Linked DNA regions of Drosophila melanogaster. The protein of the gene in region 2 interacts with the protein of the main gene of each other region in a pairwise test. Each region holds a gene or a part of one and is shown on either strand. Other genes may lie near its edges. The genes, in order: Skp2 and Cks85A.

Region 1 (5,427 bases), 4.4 Mb from region 2:
AACGCACTTTAAATTTCCGTTAATATATAAAAAAATTACCAATTGGAGGGATGACTCAAAATAGTTTCAATTTTATATTTCTACCCGTTACTCGTAGAGTAATAGAGTATACTAGATTCGTTGAAACAGGCAGAAGGAAGCGTTCCCGACCATATGAAGTACATATATTCTTGACCAGGATCAATAGCCGATCTGGCCATGTACGTCTGTCCGTATGAAAGTCGAGATCTCAGGAACTATAAAAGCTAGAAGGTTGAGATTAAGCATACAGATTCTAGAGACAAATACCCAGCGCAAGTTAGTTGACCCATGTTGCCACGGGTGACGGGTATCTGATAGTCGAGGAACTCGACCATAGCCTTCTCTCTTGCTTTAGTTACTTTTATATTGCTGAATCTTTAAATTTGGCAGGCTGTCCAATACGAACTTTGTTCTTGAACCTATGATTACGAACTAGATCGAAAATATTTATATTTGTCGTTTCCCTATATGATTTTGTTTTGAATTGGCTTGATTATGCTTTCCTTGATAAAAGACATATTTTTTGTTTATTTTCTTAAATATTTAATATAGTATAAAAACAATGAATTTTTAAATGGAAAATTGGGTGACTCATTGTACCTTTTTTAGTTTGAACAGATTGGAGTCAAGGGCAAGTACTGTTATCTTTTCCTTCCTCTCTCGAGTGTTTACATTAATGCCAATTTATAAAAGCATTTTCTGGTAGTAGCTGCACTTGGATACTATACCGCTGCAACTATGTAACTATAAAAGGCTTCGAGTACTTCCAGTAGACCATAGAACATTTTTTGAAAGATGAAGGTTCAGCTCGCTCTAACCTCCCTACTAGTGATTTCTTTTGGCATTGCCCTCGCCTATGATGGTGACGGACAGCCGGGTTGCAAGACCCAAGCCGAGCTAGACATTGTAGTTTTCCGCAACAATTGGGATGCCACATCGTATTGGAAGTGTGAGACACTTAACAAACCAGCCATTGAAATCAAGTGCCCCAGCGAAACAGGATTCATGGATAGTCTCAAGAACTGCGTCAACTGGGAGGAATGGGAATGGGAGAAACCAGTGGAGCCCCTTAGCGAAGCGGATCAGTGACCAAACGCACAAAAATAAGAACAGCTAAATGTGATTATTTATGTTGTTGAATTGAGAATAAAATAACTGCGTTACGGGTGGCTTACGCAGCAAAACAAATTCAAATGGTAACGGAAGCAGCAGAGTCGAGACTTAGTCGCGCGTGCGCAGACCCCAAATGGAGGTGCGTCGCGTGCCAACAGTCGGGCGGGATACCGAACTGTGAATGAATTTGTTTATACCCATTTTTGGCAGTTGTTTCTCAAGGACTTCCATTGCAGTGTCCGACAGCATCCCAAATATGTCTAAATAGGTTAGCGAGGGCATACTCTTAAGTTCACTGCAAGGAAAATGACTGGGTAGGGATTAATCAGACGCTTGCTGGAAAAATCTTACATAAATTTGGTTGCTGGAATAAGATAGCATCGGGAGACGGACAAATATTCCAGCATCTTGAACTTCATAATTGCAGTAATGACTGTTGGTGTTAGACTATTGCAATCAGATAGATCAAGCTCCAACAACTGAGGACACCGTTTTTGCAGGGTTGCAACATCTAAACAAATTAAATTCAAATCAAAAAGGAAATATATCATTGAAGACGGTGGGAACTACTTACGCGAGTCAAACAAAACGCGGCGGCAGCCAGCGATATTGAGCCGAATTAAGTTGGGGGAAATGTGGGTAACCAACGCCGTAACAGCATCCGCACTTAGGTCAGTCCACGATATGTTTAAGCTGCTTAGGCTGGTAAGTGACTCCATCATCAGGCGAACACTGTTGGACGTCAGGCCACTAGCCATAGTCAGATTGACCGCCTCCAAAGCTTCATTCTTTGCGATCTCTGCACAGATGTCATCATCGAGCTCAATATTCTCTAAGCTTATTTTCTTTAGCTGGCGGCAGTGGGACAATAGTGTCAGCAGTGAGCTTCGGGTGATGGAAGCCATACTCAGGTCAAGATATTGTAATCGGGTCCTAAACACTTCTGTATATGGTGCAAATGCGGGCTCCTGGATCTACAGTTCAAAGATTAGATGCTCTTGTTTCCCGAAAACATAATGTTAGATGTAACTTACACTAGTCTGGGCCAGACGTATTACAAGGACTCCCCGCCGTACAATTTGCTCGAGGGCACCTGGTCTAATTGTCCGCAAACCCAAATCTAGCCTTGTCCACAAAGTCTCATCGCGAGAGCAGCGGTTAAAGCGTCGACAAACGGTAGCCATGCGCAGCAGCGTCTTCTTCGGGAGCCACTTAAAGATGTCAAGTAGTATTTCGTCTGAAAGTCTTTCAAAGTAGTTTATGCCGCTGTTGATGTGGGCACTCATGGCCGGGGTGCGAAACACAAAGAAACTGTCCGCTGCCACTATTCGGGTTGTAATATTTGTTGTCGAGGGCTTTTTTGCCTGGCGAACTTGCGCCAACCTGCTGGTTGATGGCTGAAAATTGAGCGAAGCAGTCCCATCAATCTGGTTGTTACAGGTGACTGCAGCCAGGGGGTTGCGCAAACGTTTGCTGGGCGAGTTTGAATTGCCGCTACCTTCAGAACCCAACGACGAGCGCTTAGCCTGCGCCAGAATCTGCAGCTTCTCGGCCGATTGACGGGACATCGACAGTGAATCCTCCACAGCTGGGCTATCCAGTGTGATGTCCCCCGTAGAGCCCAGACTTAGCCGTTGCGTGTGCTGTAGCTGGTGCGCCATGCGCGACACACTGGCGCACGGGGTCGTCTCATTTGAGTTGTCGTCGCTGGTGGCGCTAACCGCCAAAGCGATGGCCGAGAGGGCTGAGGAGCTGCTTTCTTCGGAATCAAGCATTCCGATTCCCATCTCTTCTAGGGCCTCAAAAGTTAGTGCCGAGGGCGAGGAAGGGTGCTCGTAGTGCGATGACTTCGTAGTGGAAACTAGAGCGCCCACAACAGAGACGTGGTTCTTATTAGTCGAGCGCTTTCTGCAATAGTCGAAAATTTATTAAAAGTGTGCAGTTCGATCGTGCTTCATCAGCAGAATGGCTGATGAAAGAAAGGGTCAAGAACCCTGCAATTCAATAAGTTACTTTCTTGACCTCTTTTGGACACTTGTGGCGCGTGTGACGTCACGCGACCAGTTCAGTGGTCTGCTGCTTGAACCCACACCCCAAGCAAAGGAAAACTCACCTGGTCACCGGGCACAAATTTTCCATGTTTTCGGAGCCTCTGTGCTTGCGACTGCTCATATTTACACGAAATCTATTTTTTCACCGCCGTAAACACAAAAACTTCGCGCTATTTTTGCATGGAACCAGGGTTGTCGAGCCATTTTGGTATGAGAATTGTATCGTTATCGAATATACTAGACGGGCCGTGGTTGCCAGACCAAATCCCAAATTAATGCTACCGTACTCTTTGAGAAAAAATATCCGCTCAGTCTTCTCTTCTGAGAAAAAAACAAGGGCAAGACAGTTTATATTAATTGTTTACCTGTGCAACAATCTTTTGTTCCGCGAACAAAGACTATATTTGCAATTGATCCCGCCGACATAGTCATAAAAGGGTAAGCAATACGCTGCAAGGCCACTGGCATTGCGTCCTCCGCTTACTAACGTTTCCTACTAACTTTCTTCGCTGCAGCTGGAGTCGGGCCCTAGACATTTCTTAATGGTGAAAACAGCATAGCCTTCTACATATGCCACCGGTCTTCCATGAGCATTATCAAGATGAGCTTGCACACACGGGCGTTAGTGTTCTCCACCTTCTTTGGCAGCTGCCTGGCTATTGGCCTCTTGCTCGTCAGCATGACCACTAATCACTGGGTGCGGGCCACTCCACGCCGCAAGAACTCGTCGGACGCCAAGGGTGAATTCAACTTCGGACTCTTCTTCGGCAACTACCACCTGAATCCCGGATTCGGAGTCCGCACAAATTCGGTTGATGGTGAGCAATCAAAGTAGCCTAGATAGCAGGGAAAACTAGATAGAGAGTGATCTTCTCATTACCTGCATCGTGAATTAGCCTCTTTAAACTTCTTGGGACGCTTTCTGAATGAATATACGATTAGGAAAATGTGCTGATTATTGGGGCATGTATTAGTTGAAAACCGATATTGTCCTGGATAAGACTGTTGTTAAAAATAGATTTACTTTTAAATTTGTTTAGTTGTGAAGATCACAAACATAATCGGGCGAGTTGATAAAATTAAATACCCGAATAATACTCATGATCAGTGCAGACATATCCAAAAATTAACCATTATGTATACTTTTCGATTACATTTATTTATCTTGCAGATCCTAAGGATATGCTTAAAAATTAAATTGTAAAAACCAAAATTGTTTTTGTTTTTCTTATTAATAATCAAGTGACACAACAAACTTTAGGGCTAAAGGGAAGTTACATTCTATTTAACAAAATTGAAAAATATTGAAATTTTTGGCGCAAAAAATATAATAGAAGCGAGGACATAGGGAACCATATTTTACTTGCTTTTATATAATATGGTTGAAATTTGGGGTTTACAATTTTTAAAATTGCAAGGGTATTATATTGCGAGCCACAAATATGCAACATAGAATAAAAACGTCGTGGAAGCTTAACAGCTTTTGGAGATGCAAATAAAATATAAAATTTTTAAAGCAATCCTGTTTAACTTTTGTTATTTCACACCGTATTTTCAGTGTATACCTTTGTTCGGACAGAAAATGACGACACTAGCTTCTGGCTCTGGCTACTTACTACCTTGGGCACCGGTTTCGCACTGCTGGCCTGCGCTGTGGCTGCCATCGCCGCTGTCCTAAAGTCAGCCTCTGCGGCCAAAAAAGGAGGCACAATGATGCTGCTCCTGACTTCCAACATATGCGCCGCGGGGGCGCAAATAGTGGCGTTTGTAGCTTGGCTCGTGCAGTTCTACCAATATTTCATACACAACGTTCTTTTAACTGAGCAGCAGCAGCAGCACTGGTACAGCAATGGACTGGCTTATCTTGGTTACAGCTTTTACCTGGTCGTGGTATCCACCGTCGTTGTGCTGCTGAATATCGCCATCCTGTTGTACGCCCAGCGACTCGGCCTCCGCAACCGCCAATGCCTGGAGGCGCCATGTGACGATAAAAACAAGACCGCCATAATGCTGTACTAAGGAAGGCGAGAAGGATTCCCAAATGAACCTCTACGAAGTTGCTTGGCAAACGTACGAGCAGCGACACCTAGTAATCTCAGTGGCTCAAGTACTTGTGCCTTACTTAATGCCTTTACCTTGCCAACAACAAGGGCCGTCTATATACTCATTTCAGTTTATGGTATATTCGTTTAAATAAGCGTACAATGACTTCGCCTGACTGGCCTGCCGATCTTTCATCGGA
Region 2 (6,006 bases):
TTGTGAGACATTCCACTGATTTTTTTACAATTCTTTTTAAGATTCGAGCTATCTGTGAACTATTATAAATTATTATTTCCACACATCAAATTTGTTTTTCGGCTGTTTTTCGATATTTTTCTTTTTACAAAAAAATTTTCATCTTAAAATTGTGAAAATTATTCAAGTTTTAGGTTTTGCTTGTTGTCTTATATTGGTTCCAATTGATGCTTAAATGTTAACAATTTTTGTATATAAAACCGTTAAATATATGTATATAAGAGTGTGTGTATGTTATCATAAACCTTACTATACATAATTATTAATATGCTACATATGTGTTTTGTTTTGTTTTTTTTTTCTTTCTGTTTGGTTTCTCTTCTCCACGGCCATGAGCAATTCAGCTGCCTACTGCTTTTCAAATTCATTAAATTTCCTTACACCGCATATTATCCTTTTTCGATCTTATAGATTGCTAAACTTTCGCATGTATATTTGCTGCTAGTTGGCTGTTGGATGTTTCTGTCTATATGGCTAATCATAAGTTACTGGACGACACAGCGAGAAAACGAAGACGATGGCATACCACACCTCGGTCAGGTAAAGGGCGATCTGCAGCGTGCACAGGCAGTACTCCAGGCGCAGTCGGTAGGTCTGGAGCAGCAGTAGATAGGAGACGCCCACAAAGCAGGGGGCGGTCATGAAGACCGACAGTATGGCCGACCAGCCTGTGATAGAAAAGCAGAAGAGTTCATTAGAATCTGATTGTAAAAGCCATAGATACTATTCTATTACAATTATAAATAAGGATGATAATGAGTTAATTAGTATTTCTTAAGTCTAATGGTTTGGTTTGATTAAACGATTGATAACGCCATTGAGGATGATTCTATTGTTTTAGAATATCCTATAATTAGACCAGCCAGCAGGCGGGAGCTTCTACCTCGATCGGCCAGCGAACTCATGCGCCCCATTATCAATCGGATCGTCTCAAAGACAATGAAGCTAATCATCACCCCCGTGTCCAGGGCTAGAGTATGTCCCGTGTAGCTGAGATTGATGGCCTTCAGGAGGCCCATGGCCATCTCGCAACAGGCGAACATGCCAAAGTAGAACGAGTTGAGGTAGATCAACACCTCGTAGTTCATGCTGGGATTTGGCTTCTTCGGCACGAGCGGTGGCGGACGCTTGGGCGGCATCTTTCTGCCGGCTTAGCACCTCCTTCTGCTGCTTCTCCTGTTACCCCTCGATGTCTACGGCAAATTGGACCGATTTGATCTCCCGGATCGCTCACACGGCGGCGTTGCTCACGTTGGGCACTGTATTTATAGACTGACCATAATAATAACGCGAACCTGCCGTGCTTGGCCAATGCAGCGGCAGCGGCATCGACATCGGCGGTCTCACGGTTTGTCGCTGCGAAATGTGCTGTTTATTTGAATAATGTGCTGCTGGTCGTTGTCGCCTTTTATTTGTTTTCTCTGCTCGCTGTTTGGGTCAGCATTGGCCGGCAGATCGCCTGCCTAGAAATGTGGGGGAGAATGATTTCACTGGCGGCTAGTTGGGGGGAAAAAACTACTAAAAACTCCCTGGGCGTTATGCTCTACAGGGCCCAGGGCCATTAAATGGTTACCTTGAAATTCAGGATAGGTTTAGGGTGAATATATGAAAACCATTGTTGGAATTTTAATTATTTTTAAAAACTCAAAGCGTTATGCCTCGCTAAAGTCCCGTGAATCTCTCTCCTGTGAATCGTACAGGGCATGTTCACTAGACCAAAGACCAAACGGAGAGCCCTCTCATCTTGGCCATTACAGTCAGGCTAACTTGCCCGCAGTGGGCCGTGTATATTACATTCAAATTAGAAGTGTACATTGCACCTAGGGGACAGCAGCGGTGTTGCACGAGCCGTGCAGTTCGCATATAATTTTAGACCATCAGAGCCGTATAAAAATACCAGAACCGAGCGGGTCCGAGGAGCAACTGCGCCAGCAGGGAGGCAACGCCACAAAGGCCGGGCAAAAGAATGCAACCAAGAAATGCAAATTAAATGCAGCTTTGCTTTTGATAGAATCGGACGCGTCGTGTTTCGCTGCGATGTGATTTCCGCGGGCGCGAATGATCTGTGCGGATTATATAAGTTTATAAAGGTTCACGTACCTTGTTGAAAGTCCTCCTCAACTGCCAGCCATTGGGTATGTTATCGGGTTGTCTTGGCACGGATTCCTAGGAGGTCTAGTAGGATCTAGATTTTTTGTTTTGTTTTTATGTGCGGTGGCTTAGTGTGCATTTAAGTGGCTTAGTTTTGAGGCCTTGGCGAATCGTTTGATGTGAAATTGCCAGAGGAAAGTGTTTCGTCTTCGTCGTAGTCGTCGCTCGGCTGTGGATGCTTCTACTCCTTCTCCTCCAGGTGGGAGTGTTAGTGCTGGCTTGGTCTTGATCTCGATCTTGGTCGTTGACGTGGCGGCGGCAACGCGGCTTATCAACTGCTAGGTGTATGTGACGGGGCGACACATTGTACAAATGAATATGCTGGCGTAGACTAGTTCAGCACCTTGTAGGGTGATCATTAAGGCACTCAGAATAATTTCGAGTTTGAGAACAAAGGTTTGAAAACAACACAAGTAGATAACAATAGCAAGACTGGGCAGTGTTAATATTACGGATGCGGTTGCTTGCCAGCCTGCAAAGAGAGAAAAACAAGGAAAATGTTAGCTACAGATGCACGGAAAATCGTATAGTTCGTCTACTTGTTTATAATTAAGTGTATTCGATTGAAAGTGATTCAGTGTTTTAAAGTATTATACTAATAATTTCATGTTTACACATTGCGATAATTAATATTAACAGCTCCAATTGCTTTTCCAATAACTCATTTCGATGATTCGCTTTGATAGATTTCCTTTGCATATTGCTTAATGTGCCAGAAGGGCGCCTTTCCCCTGCCACCATAAAACGCGTGTTTTCATCCGGGGTGATGACCATAATTACGCATACGCCGAGTGGGCTACATCATACATATATGTATGTATGCCCGTCCAAACGTTTATGGGTTATGGCCCCGGAGGTAGGGGGATGGCATGAAATGGGCATTGTGACCGGGCAAACAAATAATTTCGCCATGTCATCATCGCTGCCGGTGGACTTTTCCCACCCTTGCAGTAACATGGGGATCATGGGGATTACTCACCACGATCGCTTAGACTGCTCTTCCGCCCGAAGACAATGCGCACGGTCTCGATGATGCACAGTGAGAGCAGGATGCTGGCCTCCCGGGACAACGCGTTCTCGCCGTAGTTTAGATTAATCGCCTTAAGAACGCCCACGCCCACTTCGAAGGCGGCGTACATGCCAAAGTAGAACGAGTTCAGATACATAAGTATCTCATAGATGAGGCTGGCGTTCATGGTGCCCGCTACTGCGGAAACGAGTCCGTAACCGTTGCCGTATCCGTGTCCTCCTGCGTGGCGACCAGTTCCTCAAGGCGGCAGGTGCGTCGCCTCTAAATGATTGGATGTCACCTGGGCAGTTTGGAGCAGCTCCTCCCGCTTTTCCACTGGCAGCAGCAGGTGTTTCGGCTTCTCTACGCCAGCATTGGGACCTTTGGGCGGTACGTGGTGAGTGATACCTGCTGGACTGAAAAATATTTGCTAATTGCGGTCTGCTCGTATTTACCAATGCGCGCATACATACAGTCAAACTTCCTCAACTAGAACTTCATAAAATCAATCGAATTTATAGGTGGTTTTGCTGTGCCTATGTATCTACATATGTACATTGTATGCATTTATTTACTAGCATACCGTAACGGTAAATTCATTAAGCGACAATAGGGAGTACATATACATAAAGGTTTTAGGTTCTTAGAACCCATTTTCTTCATCACTAAAGGACACTTTTTATTGTAGTAGTAAAGTCGTATCTACTTATGGAAGTTTGACTGTATTTACGTATCGTCCTCACCTCTTCCACTGCTTTTTCTTCTTGTTCCCGTTCTACTTCGCCTTTCCTCTTCTTCTAGCTGCTCCACCGTTACTGTCTAAAGTCCCGTTGTCATGGGAGTAAGTGGATGTTATGTTATGTATATGAAATGCACGCAGGCGACAACTCTATGCTAATATTAAGTACATGCGTTCACGTTTATTTATACGCGTTGTTGTGCGTTGTTGTTGCCCGCTGGCCTGGCTGGTTGTTGTTGTTGTTGGTTTGTTGGCAAGAGACGAGGGGCTTATATAAAAAGGAAAGGAACCTCAAACGCACATGCACAAATGTGGCCATGGGCGAGTAACGGAGAAATTGCCGATTGCATTTGGAAAATGTGCGAGCCTGCGAGTTCCGGTCACACTGGAAATCACATATTATCCAATTGAGTTTTTCATTCGCTAAATATGTTAACATTTTCTAACAGCATCTTTTTACAAAGTACTCGTTTTTTTAACAAAATGGCTTTAAAATGGCTTTAAACATTGCAAAAATATTGTTATACAGAAAAAAGTTTATGTTCAATATATTAAAGCCCGCTAAGATCGTGCCATTAAAAACAGTACATTTGAGTTTACCGCCAAAGGTGCTGTTAACTGGACAGCTGATAACCAAATCGATAACTTTATGTTCGATACGTGCAGCGATAACAATAGTATTTAGAATCGAATCAGTTGTGGCATATCTATCTGAATTTATTGACCTATTTTGGTAAAATTGCTTAATTTACCTCAGGTTTTCTGGCTTTTCGCAATGCCGGCCGATCAAATTCAATACTCAGAGAAGTACTTCGACGACAACTTTGAATACAGGTACGTTCAACTTGCGTTTCAGCATCCGTGAACTGTTTGTTTACACACAAACCACTTTCCCTCCCTGCAGGCATGTTATCTTGCCACCGGATTTGGCCAAACATGTGCCGAAGGCTCATCTGATGACCGAGACGGAGTGGCGCAACCTGGGCGTGCAGCAGAGCCCCGGCTGGGTGCACTACATGGTCCACGCGCCGGAGCCGCATGTGATTCTATTCCGACGCAAACGCATTCCGGCAGAGGACGCTCCACAGGTGGCAGCCGCTAATGCGGCTCAGGCCATCGCGAATCTCTGCGGTTAGGCGGAGGATGCCATGCCGCCGAGGAATGCTCTTCCAAGGACGCACTCGTCAATGCTCACGTAGTATTTCATAAGTTAGCATCAGGCAGCCTGATGTAAAATAAGAAACCATAGCTTTAGGGTTCAGCTGGGAAGTTCAAAGACACGAAACGAACTGAAGACATCGTTTCTGTTAATTTCATTAAGTTTATTTACCTAAAATACAAATCGAAGCGTACGCCCTGTGTACAGACAGTTTAAAAGTAGTGTTTAACTAATTGACTAATTGTAGCAGCGCCATACCGCCGGCAGCAGGCGATACGTCCAACTCTCGTTGCTTAGGTTGCAGTTCTTTAGGGCGTAATGCTCCATGGCGTATAGTGAGATCAGCGTGGCATTTCCCAGGATCAGAGAGAACCACAGAAAGATGTTGCCCATCACTTTTGGAGCACTCCGCATTAGGAATACCAAGGCAACACCCACGACCCCAAAGAAGAAGAACATCACTGGGAAGAACATTTGCAGGGCAAAGCCGAGAACCTGCTCATGGACCACAGCGGAGATCATGAACACTGCCAGCGAGGCGGCCACCTTGGAACCTCGGAACACATGAGTGTACATATCCTTGTACACGTACTCGTACAGCCAGTCGTGCACGACGACATTCCAGTTTCTGTAGTAGCCATCGTAAGTGTGCGACGTCCACCAGTCCTTGTAGAACATTCGATCACCGAAGCGTAGCAGCTCCGACGTGAAGTTCAGCCACGAGTGCAGGATTAGGTAGAAGCCGCACAGAAAGATCACCGCGCTGGGCAGCATCATGCCGAACAGCTTGAGGATCAGCTGGGAGGGTCCCATTGGTTCCAGTCCGTACTGTCCGAAGTGCTCGTGGATGTGCCGCTCATGGATGAACGCGTACAGGAAGGCTATGGCCACCACCTCCAACAGTCGATT

Evidence for each region.
Region 1: the proteins of Cks85A (region 2) and Skp2 interact in a two-hybrid assay, tested with the Drosophila melanogaster proteins (2 studies listed by BioGRID).

What each region holds. Positions count from the first base shown.
Region 1 is NT_033777.3:4,334,301-4,339,727, forward strand, and holds Skp2 (S-phase kinase-associated protein 2), read right to left. Parts: upstream 3,375-5,427; 5' UTR 3,307-3,374; coding exon 3,248-3,306; intron 3,043-3,247; coding exon 2,169-3,042; intron 2,109-2,168; coding exon 1,709-2,108; intron 1,646-1,708; coding exon 1,486-1,645; intron 1,430-1,485; coding exon 1,243-1,429; 3' UTR 1,111-1,242; coding exon of another isoform or gene 817-1,110; 3' UTR 579-816; downstream 1-578. Other genes in the region: CG14645 (uncharacterized protein), read left to right, coding at 817-1,110; CG1103 (uncharacterized protein), read left to right, coding at 3,772-4,003, 4,744-5,204.
Region 2 is NT_033777.3:8,714,505-8,720,510, reverse strand, and holds Cks85A (Cyclin-dependent kinase subunit 85A), read left to right. Parts: upstream 1-2,054; 5' UTR 2,055-2,174; exon of another isoform or gene 2,175-2,468; coding exon of another isoform or gene 2,469-2,662; intron 2,663-3,169; coding exon of another isoform or gene 3,170-3,386; exon of another isoform or gene 3,387-3,615; intron 3,616-3,942; exon of another isoform or gene 3,943-4,268; intron 4,269-4,631; exon of another isoform or gene 4,632-4,695; 5' UTR 4,696-4,713; coding exon 4,714-4,772; intron 4,773-4,842; coding exon 4,843-5,074; 3' UTR 5,075-5,311; downstream 5,312-6,006. Other genes in the region: CG11760 (uncharacterized protein), read right to left, coding at 514-707, 923-1,178; TMEM216 (transmembrane protein 216), read right to left, coding at 2,469-2,662, 3,170-3,386; CG8112 (uncharacterized protein), read right to left, coding at 5,335-6,006.